Linked DNA regions of Lonchura striata. The protein of the gene in region 1 interacts with the protein of each later gene in a pairwise test. Links are inferred from orthologs where the notes say so. Each region holds a gene or a part of one and is shown in the gene's direction. Other genes may lie near its edges.

Evidence for each region. The genes of interacting proteins can lie anywhere in the genome.
Region 2: the proteins of STUB1 (region 1) and OLFM3 interact in binary tests that used the Homo sapiens proteins (3 or more experiments, as listed by UniProt). The two-hybrid records come from large-scale screens. The link is inferred for Lonchura striata from reciprocal best matches to the Homo sapiens genes STUB1 and OLFM3.

The regions. Positions count from the first base shown.
Region 1 is NC_134618.1:3,128,789-3,136,131, reverse strand, and holds the start of STUB1 (E3 ubiquitin-protein ligase CHIP), read left to right. Parts: upstream 1-4,329; 5' UTR 4,330-4,395; coding exon 4,396-4,581; intron 4,582-5,480; coding exon 5,481-5,679; intron 5,680-5,780; coding exon 5,781-5,946; intron 5,947-6,082; coding exon 6,083-6,173; intron 6,174-6,680; coding exon 6,681-6,737; intron 6,738-6,853; coding exon 6,854-6,970; intron 6,971-7,322; coding exon 7,323-7,343. Other genes in the region: RHBDL1 (rhomboid-related protein 1), read left to right, coding at 54-278, 845-993, 1,074-1,186, 1,429-1,529, 2,226-2,286, 2,361-2,632. UniProt on the Homo sapiens protein: E3 ubiquitin-protein ligase which targets misfolded chaperone substrates towards proteasomal degradation.
Region 2 is NC_134611.1:23,251,674-23,258,917, reverse strand, and holds the start of OLFM3 (noelin-3), read left to right. Parts: upstream 1-4,240; coding exon 4,241-4,376; coding exon of another isoform or gene 4,377-4,386; intron 4,387-5,774; coding exon of another isoform or gene 5,775-5,781; intron 5,782-7,244.

The DNA.
Region 1 (7,343 bases):
CCGGGGGCGGCCCCAGGCCGGTCCCGAGCTGCCCCCGCGGTCTCTCCCCGCAGATGAGCAGCAAGCGCTCCAGCAGCTTCAAGCGCGCCATCGCCAACGGGCAGCGGGCGCTGCCCCGCGACGTCCTGCTGGACGAGACCGGCCTCGGCATCTACAAACGCTTCGTCCGCTACGTGGCCTACGAGATCCTGCCCTGCGAGATGGACCGGCGCTGGTACTTCTACCAGCACCGCACCTGCCCGCCCCCCGTCTTCATGGCAGCCGTCACCCTCACCCAGGTACGGCACGGCGGGAGGGTCCCGGGGACCTCGGCAGGGATCAGACCGGGGCGGGCAGCACGGTTGTGAGCTGCTGTGCACGCAGAGCTGACCTGAAGGGATGTGTGACCCTGCAGGTGACAGCTTTGTGCCCACACCTGGGGCGGTGGGGCTGGGGGGCCCCAGTCGTGATGTTCTGGTGCCCACAGAGGGGCTCAGATAGGGGGTGAAGGTTTGGGTGACCCTCGCTGTGATGTCCTGGTGCGTTTGGTGGTGCTGAGACCCGGGACAGAGGTGGATGGGTGACCCCAGTGGTGATGTTCTTGTGCTCATGGGTGGGACCCATGGAGGGGCTCAGATCCAGGGTAGGAGGAACGGGTGACCCCAGCTGTGATGTCCTGGTGCCCTTGGGGGGCTCACATCTGGGGCGAAGGGAGTGAGGACCCTGTCTGTGACCTCCTTGTGCCCACGCGTGGGACTCAGAGCTGGGGCAGGGGGGATGGGTGACCCCAGCTGTGACATCCTGGTGCCCTTGTGGGGCTCAGATGTGGGGTGAAGGGGGGTGACAGCCACGGGGTTTGTCACAGATCATCGTGTTCCTGTGCTACGGGGCCCGGCTGAACAAGTGGGTGCTGCAGACCTACCACCCCGAGTACATGAAGAGCCCCCTGGTCTATCACCCCGGGCACCGGGCGCGCGCCTGGCGCTTCCTCACCTACATGTTCATGCACGTGGGGTAGGTCCCGCTGGGGGGGGACGCTGGGGACATCCCGGGGGCTCTGCAGGCTGAGCCTGTCCCCTCCTGTGCCCGGGCAGGCTGGAGCAGCTGGGGTTCAACGCCCTCCTGCAGCTGATGATCGGGGTGCCCCTGGAGATGGTGCACGGCATCCTGCGCATCAGCTTCCTCTACCTGGCCGGGGTCCTGGCAGGTGGGTGCTCCCCGGGGGGACTGTCCCCATCCCCCCCGTCCCTGTCACCAGCCCGGGGGGGCACGGGGAGGTCACACCGAGTTTGGTGGGGATGCTGGGCTCTGCTGGCTGCCACCCTGCAGTGCCAGCATCACTCGGCCAGGGGCTGGGGGGCAATGCAGGCTGTAATTAATTAATGTAGACAGTAATTAATGAATGCTGTGGGGGCGAGACCCCGTGCTGAGCCCTGTCTGTGCCCCCAGGCTCCCTCACGGTCTCCATCACGGACATGAGGGCCCCCCTGGTCGGGGGCTCGGGGGGGGTCTACGCCCTCTGCTCTGCTCACCTCGCCAACGTCGTCATGGTCAGCCAGGGGACAAGGGGACACAGAAGGGGGGACAGGGGTGGATGACTCTGTAGGGTGGGCAGCACGGTGGGGGATGCCATGGGGTGACAATGGGGACGGGAGCTGTCTGCAGGTTGGGCATGGTGGTGGGACATTATGGAGGGATGCCATGGGGTGGCTGGCACTGTGGGTGGGCAGCATTGGTGGGGGATGCTGTGGGGTGGCATTAGGGGTGGCACTGTCACAGAGGGACCACCTTGGGAGACATGGGGTGGGTGTGGGTGGGAAGGAGCAGGGACCTGAGGGGGCTCCATGGGGCATTCCAGGGGCTCTGGCAGCAGTCCCCACCTCTGTGCTGGAGCATTGCTTGTGCCAGCCCATCATCCGTCCATCCATCCATCCATCCATCCATCATCCATCCATCCATCCATCCATCATCCATCATCCATCCATCCATCATCCATCCATCCATCCCTTGTCCATCCATCCATCCATCCATCATCCATCATCCATCCATCCATCCATCCATCATCCATCCATCCATCCATCCATCTATCATCCATCCATCCATCCCTTGTCCATCCATCCATCCATCATCCATCATCCATCCATCCATCCCTTGTCCATCCATCCATCCATCCATCCATCCATCCATCCATCCATCCTTCATCCATCCATCCCTCCCTCCCTCCCTCCTCGCTGCCGTTCCCGCAGAACTGGGCCGGGATGCGCTGTCCCTACAAGCTGCTGCGGATGGTGCTGGCGCTGGTGTGCAGTGAGTACCGCCCCCGTCCCTGGCCCCGGCCGCGCGGCCCCGGGCGGGCTCAGCAGCTCCGGCCCGTCCCGCAGTGAGCTCCGAGGTCGGCCGCGCCGTCTGGCTCCGCTTCTCGCCGCCGCTGCCGGCCTCGGGGCCGCAGCCCAGCTTCATGGCGCACCTGGCGGGGGCCATCGTGGGCATCAGCATGGGGCTGACCATCCTGCGCAGCTACGAGGAGAGCCTGCAGGACCAGTGCGGCTGGTGGGTGCTGCTGCTGTCCTACGGCACCTTCCTGCTCTTCGCCGTCTTCTGGAACATCTTCGCCTACGACCTGCTGGGGGCACAGATCCCCCCCCCGCCCTAGCCCGCCCCCTCGCCCCGACCCTGCGGTTCGTTTGTTTGCCGAGCCCGGCGGAGGGGCTGGGGGGTCCCCGCGCGTGACATGGGGACAGGCCACCCCGCCGCCCGTCCCCTCGGTGCTAGCGAGCGCGCCGCCCGCCCCGGTGTCCCCGCCGCCCCCGCTGTGCCCGGCCCCAGGGGAAGCTCCGGCCCCGCCCCGGCGCCGCCGCCCCTCGGGAAGGAGCCGGGCCCGGGGACCCCCGCCGGCTCCCGGACCCCCTTTCCAGGACCTGCACTTGCACACGAAGGACTGGTGCCAAAAGAGGAGCCATTTATTTTTCTATGCCAAAATAAATATAAATAAAAGAAAGAGGAATAATAATAATAATAATAATAAAAAAGAATAAAAAGAAGGATACGGGGAGAGCCCGGCAGGAATCGGCTGAGACCGGCACAATCATTTTGGCAGTGCCCTCGGAGGCACAGCCCCCCTCCCCGCGCCCCGGGCCCGCTTTGCTGACCCCCGGCACGGGGGCCTGGCTCGGGATGGGGGCGCGGGGGGTCCCCGCTCTAACCCCCCCCAGACCTTTTTGAAGTATAAATAAATATTTTGCACACTGCGGGGGCTCGTGTCTCTGTCGGGGGCGGGGGTTTGGGGGTGCCCCCATCCCCGATGGGCGGCGGGGCGGGGGCTCAGCCGGGCTCGGGAATTACTGGAGCAGAAAACTCCGGGATCAGTGGAGCGGCGCCGGGCCGGGCCCCGCGGGGCTGGGGCGCGGGGGTGAGGGGGGGTCTGCAGACCACCCCGCTCCCTGCACCCCCCGCTGCAGCGCACACAGCGCTGGCTGCAGGCGCCGGACCCGCCCCACTCACACCCCCAAACCCCCAACCCCCTACTCACACCCACCCCCCATCAGCTCCGTGCCGCCTCCCCCATCCCCCTTTTCATTCACCCCCATCCCCTCCAGCCAGGCCCCTCATCCATCCTGCACTACTCTGTACGCCCCCCTCCCATCAAACCCCATAAACCCATAAACACCATCAACCCCATCAAACCCCATCAAACCCCACAGACCCCACAAACCCCATAAACCCCACAATCCCTATCAAACCCCACAAACCCCATAAACCCATAAACACCATCAACCCCATCAAACCCCATAAACCCCACAAACCCTATCAAACCCCATCAAACCCCATAAACCCCACAAACCGCATAAACCCCATCAAACCCCATCAAACCCCGTAAACCCCACAAACCCCATCAAATCCCATCAAACCCCATCAAACCCCATAAACCCCACAAACCCCATCAAATCCCATCAAACCCCATCAAACCCCATAAACCCCACAAACCCCATCAAACCCCTCAAACCCCACAAACCCCATTAAAGTCCATAAACCCACAAACCACACCCCAATGCCCTCCATCCACCATCCCCTATTCAATCCCATAATCCACACCCAGGCCACGCCCACCCGGCACTGACCACGCCCCCGCCAATCTGTCTTTAGCCCCGCCCACCGCGGGCGCCCCGCCCAATCCGCCGGGCTGGCCACGCCCCTCATATGCATATCCCCGCCCCTTGCCGTTAGCCCCGCCCACCGGGCACCGTCCCGTCCTGCCGAGGCCCCGCCCCGCCCCGCCCCGGAAGCGGCGCTGTCGCAGTGCGCGGCGGAGCCGGAGCCGCCGGGGCTGCCGGGGCTGCCGAGGCCGCCGAGCCAGCGGAGCCGCCGGGGCCGCCGAGCCAGCGGAGCCGCGGCCCCAGCGCCGGCCCGGGCCGCGCCATGAAGGGCAAGGAGGAGCGCGAGGGCGGCGCGGCGGGGCCCGGCGCGGCGGGGCCGGGCGCGGGGGGCGCGGGTGGCGGCAGCCCCGAGAAGAGCCACAGCGCGCAGGAGCACAAGGAGCAGGGGAACCGGCTCTTCGGCGGCCGCAAGTACCCCGAGGCCGCCGCCTGCTACGGCCGCGCCATCGTGAGTCCCGGCGGCGCCCCCGGCCCCAGCGGGACCGGCCCCGCCACGGGAGCTCCGGGGAGGGGACGCCCCGGCCTGGGTACCCCGGGACGGGACACACCAACCTCCCCCCTGGCCTCGATGGCCCCGGGCTGGAACCTCCCCCCTGGCCTGGACACCCGCCCGGAGCTGGCCTGGCCAGCGCTGGGTGGGGTCCCCAGGGATGGGACAGCCCCCACACACCGGGCCGTGACTCCCGCAAGATGGGACATCCATCCTGCCTCCCCCCTGCCTGGACATCTCCCGGGCCCTGGCCTGGGCATCACCAGGATGGAACCTCCTCGGGCTGGGCGCTGTTCTTCCTCAGGGCCTGGCCAAGACACCCCTGACATGGGACCTTTTAATCTGGACACTGTTCCCTCCCTGAGCCTGGCTCCTCCTGGGGAGGGCTGGACACAGCTCTGGGCCTGCTTCCCCCCATTCCTGGGCCTGGACTACCACCCCTAGGCCTGGCCTAGGCACCCCCCGACCCTGGCCCGCTCTCTGGACTTGGACACCCCCAGCCCATCCTCTCCCCACCCCACTCCAAGCTGGCCTGCCCTGCACCCCCTGAGCCTGTTTCCCCAAGCCCCGCACTGTCCCTGGGCTGTGCTGGGTAGGGCAGACCCAGCCTGGGACAGTCGAGGTGTCTGGGGGACAGTCCCCTGTGGGGGCTGGGCCATGGGCTGCCCTATGGGGACCGGCCCCAGCCCGTCCCCAATCCATGCCAGCACCTCCCCACGGGGTGCACACCCTGGCTGGCACTGCTGGCTCTCCCTGCCCAGGGTGACGGCGCCGTGCCGCTGGCTCACCGAGTCACCGGGCTGTCACCAGCACGTCCCGGCCCTGCCGCCGGCACCGACATGGGCCTGTCCCTGCAGAACCGGAACCCCTTGGTGGCCGTGTACTACACCAACCGGGCCCTGTGCTACCTGAAGATGCAGCAGCACGACAAGGCGCTGGCCGACTGCAAGCGGGCGCTGGAGCTGGACGGGCAGTCCGTGAAGGCTCACTTCTTCCTGGGCCAGTGCCAGATGGAGATGGAAAACTACGACGAGGCCATCGCCAACCTGCAGAGAGGTGAGCGGGCACGCTGCCACTGTCCCCTGCTCCTGTCGGCTGGGAAAGGGCCAGGGAGGGCGACAGGGACGCTGGCGCTGGGGTGCCCTTTCTCTCCTCAGCCTACAACCTCGCCAAGGAGCAGCGGCTGAATTTCGGGGATGACATCCCCAGTGCGCTGCGCATCGCCAAGAAGAAGCGCTGGAACAGCATTGAGGAGAAGCGCATCAACCAGGAGAACGAGCTGCACTCCCACCTCACCAAGCTGATCGTGGCCGAGAAGGAGAGGTAACGGGGCACCTGGAGAAGCTTTTTGAGTGCCACCAGGCTGTCACTGCTCTGTGTGAGGTGTCTCTGCAGAGCCCTGCAGCAGGGAAGGGAGTGCCAGTGTTCCCCATCCTCCTGATGTCCCACTCTGTCCTAGGGAGCTGGCGGAGTGCCGAAAGACTCAGCAGGAGGAAAACACAGACGAGAGCCGGAGCCGTGTTCAGCTGGCCAGCATCGAGGCCAAACACGTGAGTGGGGGGCTGGGGGCTTCCCCGTCCCCATCCTCGTCCCCATCCTTGTCCTCAGGCTCTGCTGCACCCAGGGAAGCGGCAGGGCTGCAGCTGTGCAGGTGAAAGCTGGGAGACCTTGGGACCGTAGCCTTCATTCTGTAGCTCGAGCCACCACTGCAGGCCTGTTGTGTCCCCCCATGATGGCTTCCCCTGCTCTGCCACCTCTTGTCCCAGCCTGGCAGCGGTGACACCTGCTGTGCCTGTTGTTCCCTGAGGAAACACAAGTGGCTCTCAGCCACATGTGGGTCTGGGTGCTGGGGACTAATCCCAGATAAAAATAGGCCCACAAAGGAAGGTTATTTGTAAGCTGGATTGCTCCTGCCAGCTTCAGCCAGGAGCTGCACAGGCAGAGGGGGCACCAAGGACCGGCCACAGCACCCATGATGGGAGGCTTTGGGGCTCTCCCTGGGGTCCTGTAGCCCCTGCACACCAGGGACCCCTTGTCCTCAAGAGCTTCTCTTTCAGGACAAATACCTGGCAGACATGGACGAGCTCTTCTCCCAAGTGGACGAGAAGAGGAAGGTGAGTGTGGCCCAGCCTGTGCTCCTGTAAACCTTCTGTGTACCCTGCTCCCCGCTCTGAGCCAGCACCACCTCCCAGCCCCCTTTCCTGACCCAGCTGTGCCTCTCTCGAGACAGAAGCGGGACATCCCTGACTACCTGTGTGGGAAGATCAGTTTTGAGCTGATGAGAGAGCCCTGCATCACGCCCAGCGGGATCACCTACGACAGGAAGGACATTGAGGAGCATCTCCAGGTACTGCAGGGGGCTTTCCCAGGACCTTGCCTGGGTGGGAAGGCATATTTTTGCTGAACTCGGGGCTCCACAGGCTCCTTGGGTTTGGTCCCAGTTACCTGCCCGGGCAGCTCCCTGTGGAGCAGGTGCTGCCAGGCCCTGCCCAAAGCGGAGGCGGCTCTTGGCGGGGGTCTCACACCTTGACCTGCCCTCATCCTGCTGGGAGGCACCTCTGAGGGGCTCTCCCTCTTCCTGCGGGCAGGTGCCCGGGTGCCAGGGCAGATGCCACGCGGCGCTGGCCTCACGCCGCCTGCGCCTCGGGGCTGAGCGCGGGCACGTGGAGTAACCGGTTTCCCCGCGCTCCTCCCCGCAGCGCGTGGGGCATTTCGACCCG
Region 2 (7,244 bases), on another chromosome or scaffold:
AATCATGCTCAGGAACATAACTAATGAACTGCCATTTTTTGAACCAATGTACTACTTACACAATACATCACATGAAGATAAAGAACTAAATACACTATAGAACAGTGCAATGAGGGAAGCTTTGGCCTTTCTTCTTGAGCTTACTTTCTAAACCTAACCTGTCAAAGTCCAAACTTACTGAGATTTAGGATTCCTGATTTTGCTCTGCTTCAAAGGAATGTAGTTAAGCTGGGTGAGCCATGAGTGTGCAATCACTTCAACATCAAACTTCAGGTTTCAAGTGTTTACACAATAGCATTTACCCATGAACACAATTTTGAATTGTAACAAATTTTTAAGGTAGCACTGTTTTTTATATATATTAAATACACTAACATGAGGGTTAAGTGGTTGCGAGGGAACTTCACAATTTCCTCTTTCTTACAATCAATGCTTTCCTCTGGCCAGGAGGTAATTAGTTTTTGGGTGGGTGGCTGGGTATATTTTCACCTGTTGCTGACTCAGGACATTTGCTCTGTTGCCGTTCCTAATACTGACGTTAATTACTTTTTACAGCACACAGGTCCTACTGCCTCGGTTGTAATAAGATAATGTTGGGATGTATTATCATTTTCAGTAGACTTAATCCCTATCAAAATGTAACAGGATCTCAAAGTGAAAGTAAATATCAAAGACTAGAAGAGCCTTTAGACTATTTATTAAATAAGGGTCTTAAATAATACCTTTAATGACCCTAGTAATTTGTAATACAGTAATTGAATATTACAGGACTAGCATACAATAATGTTAACAACATTGAAATTGCTACAGACTGATAGACTTTTATGTAAGATCAAAATATGGCATCTGAAGTTATTCTGTATGGATGCTTCAGCTTCTACTGACTTTAGACAAAGTTAACTAAAACAGGAAGTTATACTAGCAAGTATTTAGGGAAATAAAGAATATTGTTCAAATTTTAGAATTGCTGTTGCATTCTAGCTTTATTCAGAGCAGTTAATCATAAACTAGAAATGTGAAATTGCAGCTTTAAAATAAAAACCAACAAAACAAAAAATACAGAGCTGAAATGAAACAGATCATAAAGTTTTTTTTCTACTTCCTAACAATATGAGAATAACTCTTCAGTTATTCTGTGTCTTCAGGTACGATCTTTGTATATTTGACCTCAGATGTAGAAAAATGTTCTACTCTTTGCTTGCCATTTTTTAATTTACACAATTATTTATTGTAAAATACAGCTAAAAATTTTTTAACACAATTTCTTTAACAAAAAGGGGGTTAAAACACTTATACAGTTTGGCAAAAACAGAAACAAAATATAATTTCATTGAGAATGTCCACTGTTCAGGAAGGAAGCCTTTTTAAGACTGTGTTCCCATGCACATCATCTATAGCAATAGTGCTCTGAAGCAATACTTGACAAATGGGTACATAAAAATATCGAATACACAGAATAATGACAGTCCCAGGGAGCAGGTGCTTACCCTGTCTGTGTAAGCACCCCTGGGCTGGCATTACCTTTGCAGCTGCCAGGTATTTGCAGCCCTGCCAGAAAAGGTTTCCAGCTCAGGTGAGCTCACTCCTGCAGCCCCCAGGCTCCCAAACACTTGTAGAAGCTGCCCCCATCCCTGCACTGCAGCACAGAGGGGCTTTAAAGCCCCTGTGCAGCTACAGCAGATCTGGCTTCAGCACCAAAGGGATGCCAGAGCTCTGGTAATGTTAAATTATATAACCAGCAAGGGAACTAGAGGATCACCTCCTGCTGAGCTCTGTAAAGATGTGTCCAGCAGCAGTACTGGGATTCACATGGCAGCAAGCTTTCTCTTCTGCAGTTAAACCAGTTGGAAGAAAATAAAGTGCTAAACTGCATAACTGCATTAATGAATATTCTGTCACAAGAACAAAGGAGCATATCATCTGTTAGGAATAATCAAAATAACAAACAGCATTCTTTCCAGGAGGTGACAATACCTACATAAAAGATGACCAGCAGTAGTTTTTAATCTGGGCATCAGAAAACTCTTTTATTGCCTTTTGAATGTATTTTGTCCGATGTTAAAATTCAGGAGGAGACCAATTACATTCTTCTGTGAAACAGCACATGTAGAAGAGAAGAAAACCAAAAATGCCAAAAGCTGCAATTCAGTGTGGTAAAACAAAATTCTGTCATTACATTCAGGTAATGTCTTGGAACCAAGGGAATTAGTGTGCTTATTAAACTTCTAAAAGAGGACAGGAATAGAAAAAGGTGATAAAACAGATGAATTAGAATCTTTTTTTGTATTAGGTCTAGATAGGATGCTGAGACACTTCAGAAGAATCTAATAAAACTGGAAAATTATCCAACATTATCAAATGACAGTTCAGCAAAAAGGCTCACTTCTGATGTCAGGACAGTTCAGTTTGCACACATGTTCAGGGAACAGCTTTGAGACCCTTTCCACAGAAACACTGGCTCAGGGAAAGGCTCAAATGCCTCCACCCACTAAGCCCTTCATCAGGCTGAGGCAAGGCCTGACTCAGCTTTCAGTCTCAAAATCACCATATCAAGAATGGACCACAGGGACTCTCTACAGAGAAATGTACATAATGACCATGATCAGGTAATCCAAGCTTATATGAACTTTATCTCCTGAAATACAGAAAATACTCTGAGTAAAACAGCTGTGATCACATAGCCTTTCTCAAATTTGCCATCTATGCACAACTTCTAGCAACAATGTATTTCAGTGTGTTTCATTGTATTCAGATCTCTTCAGTGAATTAATTTTTTGAGTATATAAAACATTTCACAGATCACATTACTATGTAACTACCACAAAATATTTAATACCTGGATACACAGATTTTCTATATTCTGTTGCTAGGTGATTCCTTAAGTTTATATAATAGCTCTCAATGGGTTTTTCTATTTCTTTTTTAAGAAATAAGTTGACATGTGTCTTCCTTAAACTGCAGATATTTACAGAAATCATTCTGAATGGATATTGAAAGAGAAATGTCTAGCCTGAATTGGTGCACAGGCCCTGACAATCTGAAAAACTGTTTGCAGAGTTACAGTGGCTTTAATAAATACTTCCATGTTGACAAACACCCATAAATATACATCCCTTCAGTTTCACTGCGCACAGGGTTCCTTCGTAGCACTGCCAGAAGTCCTTAAGAAAAAGTAATTTGCTTTGCCAAGGCAACTCCAGAAACTAAGTCCATAACTGCCCTGGGGAAAATGCAGTAGCCTGTCTCTCAGCAAACTTTATGCAAGTTTTCTCTTAAATAACTGCCATTAGAAATCCTCGCTCAGCACTTCTTTTACAAATAATTCTTAAAAAGTAAAGCTGCCCCTATGGCACAATGATTTCTAGACTGTTTTTTCTGCTTCTCTCCCCCCTACACTCAATATATGAGCAAGATAAATCGCTACAGAACCTGCAGCTCATTCTACTAGGGAGCAGTAGATTTAACAGCAAAGCCAAAAGAAGTCCCAAAATGTTCAATCCCCAATTTATCTTCTGTTCTCATCCAAGTAGCAATGAAGACATAGTGAGTCTGCCAACCCTGGGAGTGATGCGATAATTCTTGGTACAAAAACTTGTAAACTAACAAGAACACTGAGAAATGTGACTCTTCACCACCTCAATGGTTTTTTATGAACAATAAAGATCTTAATAACAAGCTGTGCAAATAAAAAAGTCTCTGATGTTGTAATTTATGAGAGATCAGCAAATCCAGGAGGTCCAGAAAGGTGTCTGGCCCTTTGGTGAGCAGGCTGACAGTTCTGCTTCCCCATGGACAAGTACAGAACCATATTTACTAACAGGCTTGAGCATATTTCTGCCGAAGCACTGATGGAAAGTGGGGGGGTTATTTGTGCTCAGGCTTTTGCATTTCAGACAGGAAGACACTGCTCTGCCTGGACTGAACTAATTAAGGGCTAATTGACTGTCTAGCACCTATAAAGGGATAACTCACCCATGCCATCTCCCACTGGAAACTGCAATGACTATTAGCATAGAAAGGATTGTTTATTTCGTGGTCAGCATAAGACAGTCATAAGTATTTGTTAGTAAGAGCAGAAAGAGGGCAGATGAGGATATGGATGTTTTTAATGGATGACTAAATCTGGGTAGCTTGATCTCCTTTCATGCTGTGGATGTTGTGTGCTGCAGTCACGCCTCTCGCTGCCAGCCTGCACTGGGATGATAATCACTCACTATGAAAACTCATTAGCTCCACAGCAATGAGCCCTCCACTGCTGAAGCTTGGTGCTGTTCTTAGTACCATGGCAATGATCTCTAACTGGATGTCCCAAACTCTCCCTTCTCTGGTAGGACTAAATACCACCAGAATAACCACTTCAGATACTCTAGTAAGTAGCTGTTATATGTCGCAAGCTATCTTAATGCTGAATTAGTATTTAAGTGCCAGCAAAAGCATTAGTTTGTTGTCTCTTTGTAAATCTCTTTTTTAGCTACTAATCTTCCTATCATCTCTTAATGCATGCTTCTTTTTGGGCATCATAAAACTGCAGGTGAGCATGTTGTGGTCTTACAATGAAAGGGAAGGTTTTGAAATAGTATCCTTAAATATGTAAGAACAAATGCCTTCATCTTGAACATGAAATGCTAAAAAGAGTAAAGCAATGTCTTTTCATTTGTCTAGACTGTTCTTCCTATCTTTAATGCTCCAGAAAAATGCATTGTGTTGTTTAGAAAATTATATCTGGCAGTACCTTTATTTTTGAAAATTTGATAATGTTACCTAGTAACTATTCACTACAATATGCAAAGTGTCTGATTCTTTCCTATTTTTCTTTATTGGAATACAGTTAAACAAATAAATAGCTGTTAGAAACAAAATAAAATTGGTACTAGGGGGCTAGATACCAGAATTTTTGAAAGGGTGATAATGGGAATAACACAAATTACAGAAATATCACTTTGTAACATTAACATTCATATACAGCAGCCTCAGTTAATAAAAACCTACAGGAAAGCTGTGAATAGCTATGAACTCATGAGAAGCCGAAACAGTCAAGTAACTTTTTACTTTAGAGGGAACACTATCCTGGTATCCATAAGTTATATTAGAACATAATTTTCCTAAATGCTTAGTAAAACACTCTTGTCAATGTAACTTTTTGTGTGACTGCAATCAGATGTTTACATAATAGTAGGTTATGTAAAATATAAATGTAACTGTAGTAGCTCACAATTCTCAAAACTCAGAATTTTGTAACTAAAAATTATGCATTTACTAATCAAGATGGAATAATTTAATATATGCGTGCAGGAAAAGTACTATTGTAGAAAATCACTGTATTTAGTATATAAATATTACTACTTTAAAATTAATTATGTTGTAAGAAAAATTCAGTTATCTTTTAGAGCAGCAAGATGAGAATACAAAGAAAAGCTCTATTTTATTTTCCTTACTGAGTCACAGTATATATTGCTAGTTCTTGTAGCTGTATATTGTAAGTAGAAGTTCCCTATCACATTTACATCCAAGTTTAAAGTGGCAACTGAGTAACTACAAGATGCACACTAGTTTTTATGATATTGATATATATATATATATATTTATACACAAACACAAATACATGTGTTTGTACTGATATGTTCAGATTCCAAGTAGTACAAAGTGTCATGGAGCCCTTGGCTACAACAGGGCACTGCTGATGGAAATGCCTTCTAAATATTATTTCAAGAATGCTCTTTTCACTCATCGAGTTGAGCTATATGCATATTTTTTGTTTTGATAAGGGTAGCAAGAGTTCCAGTAGAGCTGGGAAAGTGATCATAAAATCTTGATTATCTGAGCTTGGCAACATCTGCCAAATAAAGAAAACATGAATTTTAGTCATGTAGAATTCTTTTTACACAAAACTGAGCACCACGAATCTGGTACCTTTCTTAAAACTGTAGATGTTGGTTAAAAGACTTTATGCCCCAAGTGCTCAGTAATAGCAGGGTCATTGCTGACTGATTTTTGGCTGCCATCCAGAGTTCCCCACTTGCAGCTTCTCTAGTGAACTTTGCAGCAGGAGCACTTCTCTAGAATTTCTCTCTTAGCACATACACAGCTCACAAATTGTGTATATTGTGCAATGTAAAAGAAAGAAAAAAACCTCCCAATTTCCTCCCTTCAGCTGGAAGAATTGTAGAAGCATGTGGAGTCAGATAAAGGGTCTCCTCTTTTGAGCTCTGTTTCAGTACCAGGGTTGAAACTGCAAGACAAACCATCTTCAATTACTTCTTCAGAGGAGTCACTGTTGTGAAAAGCCTGTGTTCTTTTCTTACCTGAGTCCACAAAGATACTGGCACCACTTTAGAGATGAGGAACTCTGCAACTCCTCCACTAAGCTGCCAGGAAGGCATCAATATCAAAGCTTCCCAGTTTAAATAATCACTTTCTCTGCTGGCACTGAGTACAATTTTATAATATAAATAGCAACAGATTCCAACTGTGTCCAGACCAAAATTACTTCAGTTATATCCATTAGCATCTGTACCATGAAATTCATCACTCAATGCAATATTAGAAAAGAATAAAGCACAATATTAACTTTAAATTACAGTTTAGTTTAAAAGGGAAGTTCAAAAACTGTTTCTTTTACCTATTAAGTTCCATCACTTGAATGCTTTCAGTCATGTCATTATATTGTTTTCTGTCATTCCTACACTATTTTTGTACATCCCATTAAAGGGATACCAAAAAAGTGTTACCCTGCTCTGCAAACAAATGTGATTTTTTTTTTTTTTTGCCTTTCTTTCTCAGTTGTGGTTGCTGTAAAAAAGAACAGATTATGAATTTCCAGTTTTTTGCTATCCCAGTGAAGGACATGCAGTGTCTTAATGGCCCTGTGGCTTGCTTGCCATGAGCCCCATTCCCCTGGCCTAAGCAGACACTTTTCCATCCCACCCTGAGCAAGCCCCTGGTTCCCTTGGCTACTGCAGTGGAAGCCCAGGGAGAACAGTTCCTGAGAGCTGCAGCTTCAAGAGCACACCAGTCCCCCACATCCAAACTGCTGCTGAGCCACTTGCCACCCGTGAGTCACACACTGTGCTCTCCCCAGGCTCTATGTTTGTTCTTTCCTGTCTTTGTTGTTTCCATTAGTCTAAAGTAAAAGTCATCCAGGCTGAAAGGACACGTTTGTTCTCTGCTGCTGAAAAACTGTAACTTCCCTTTGCAAAGAATTAAATCAGCTGTTTTGTGCTGAATCACAAGCAGAATACCATTCT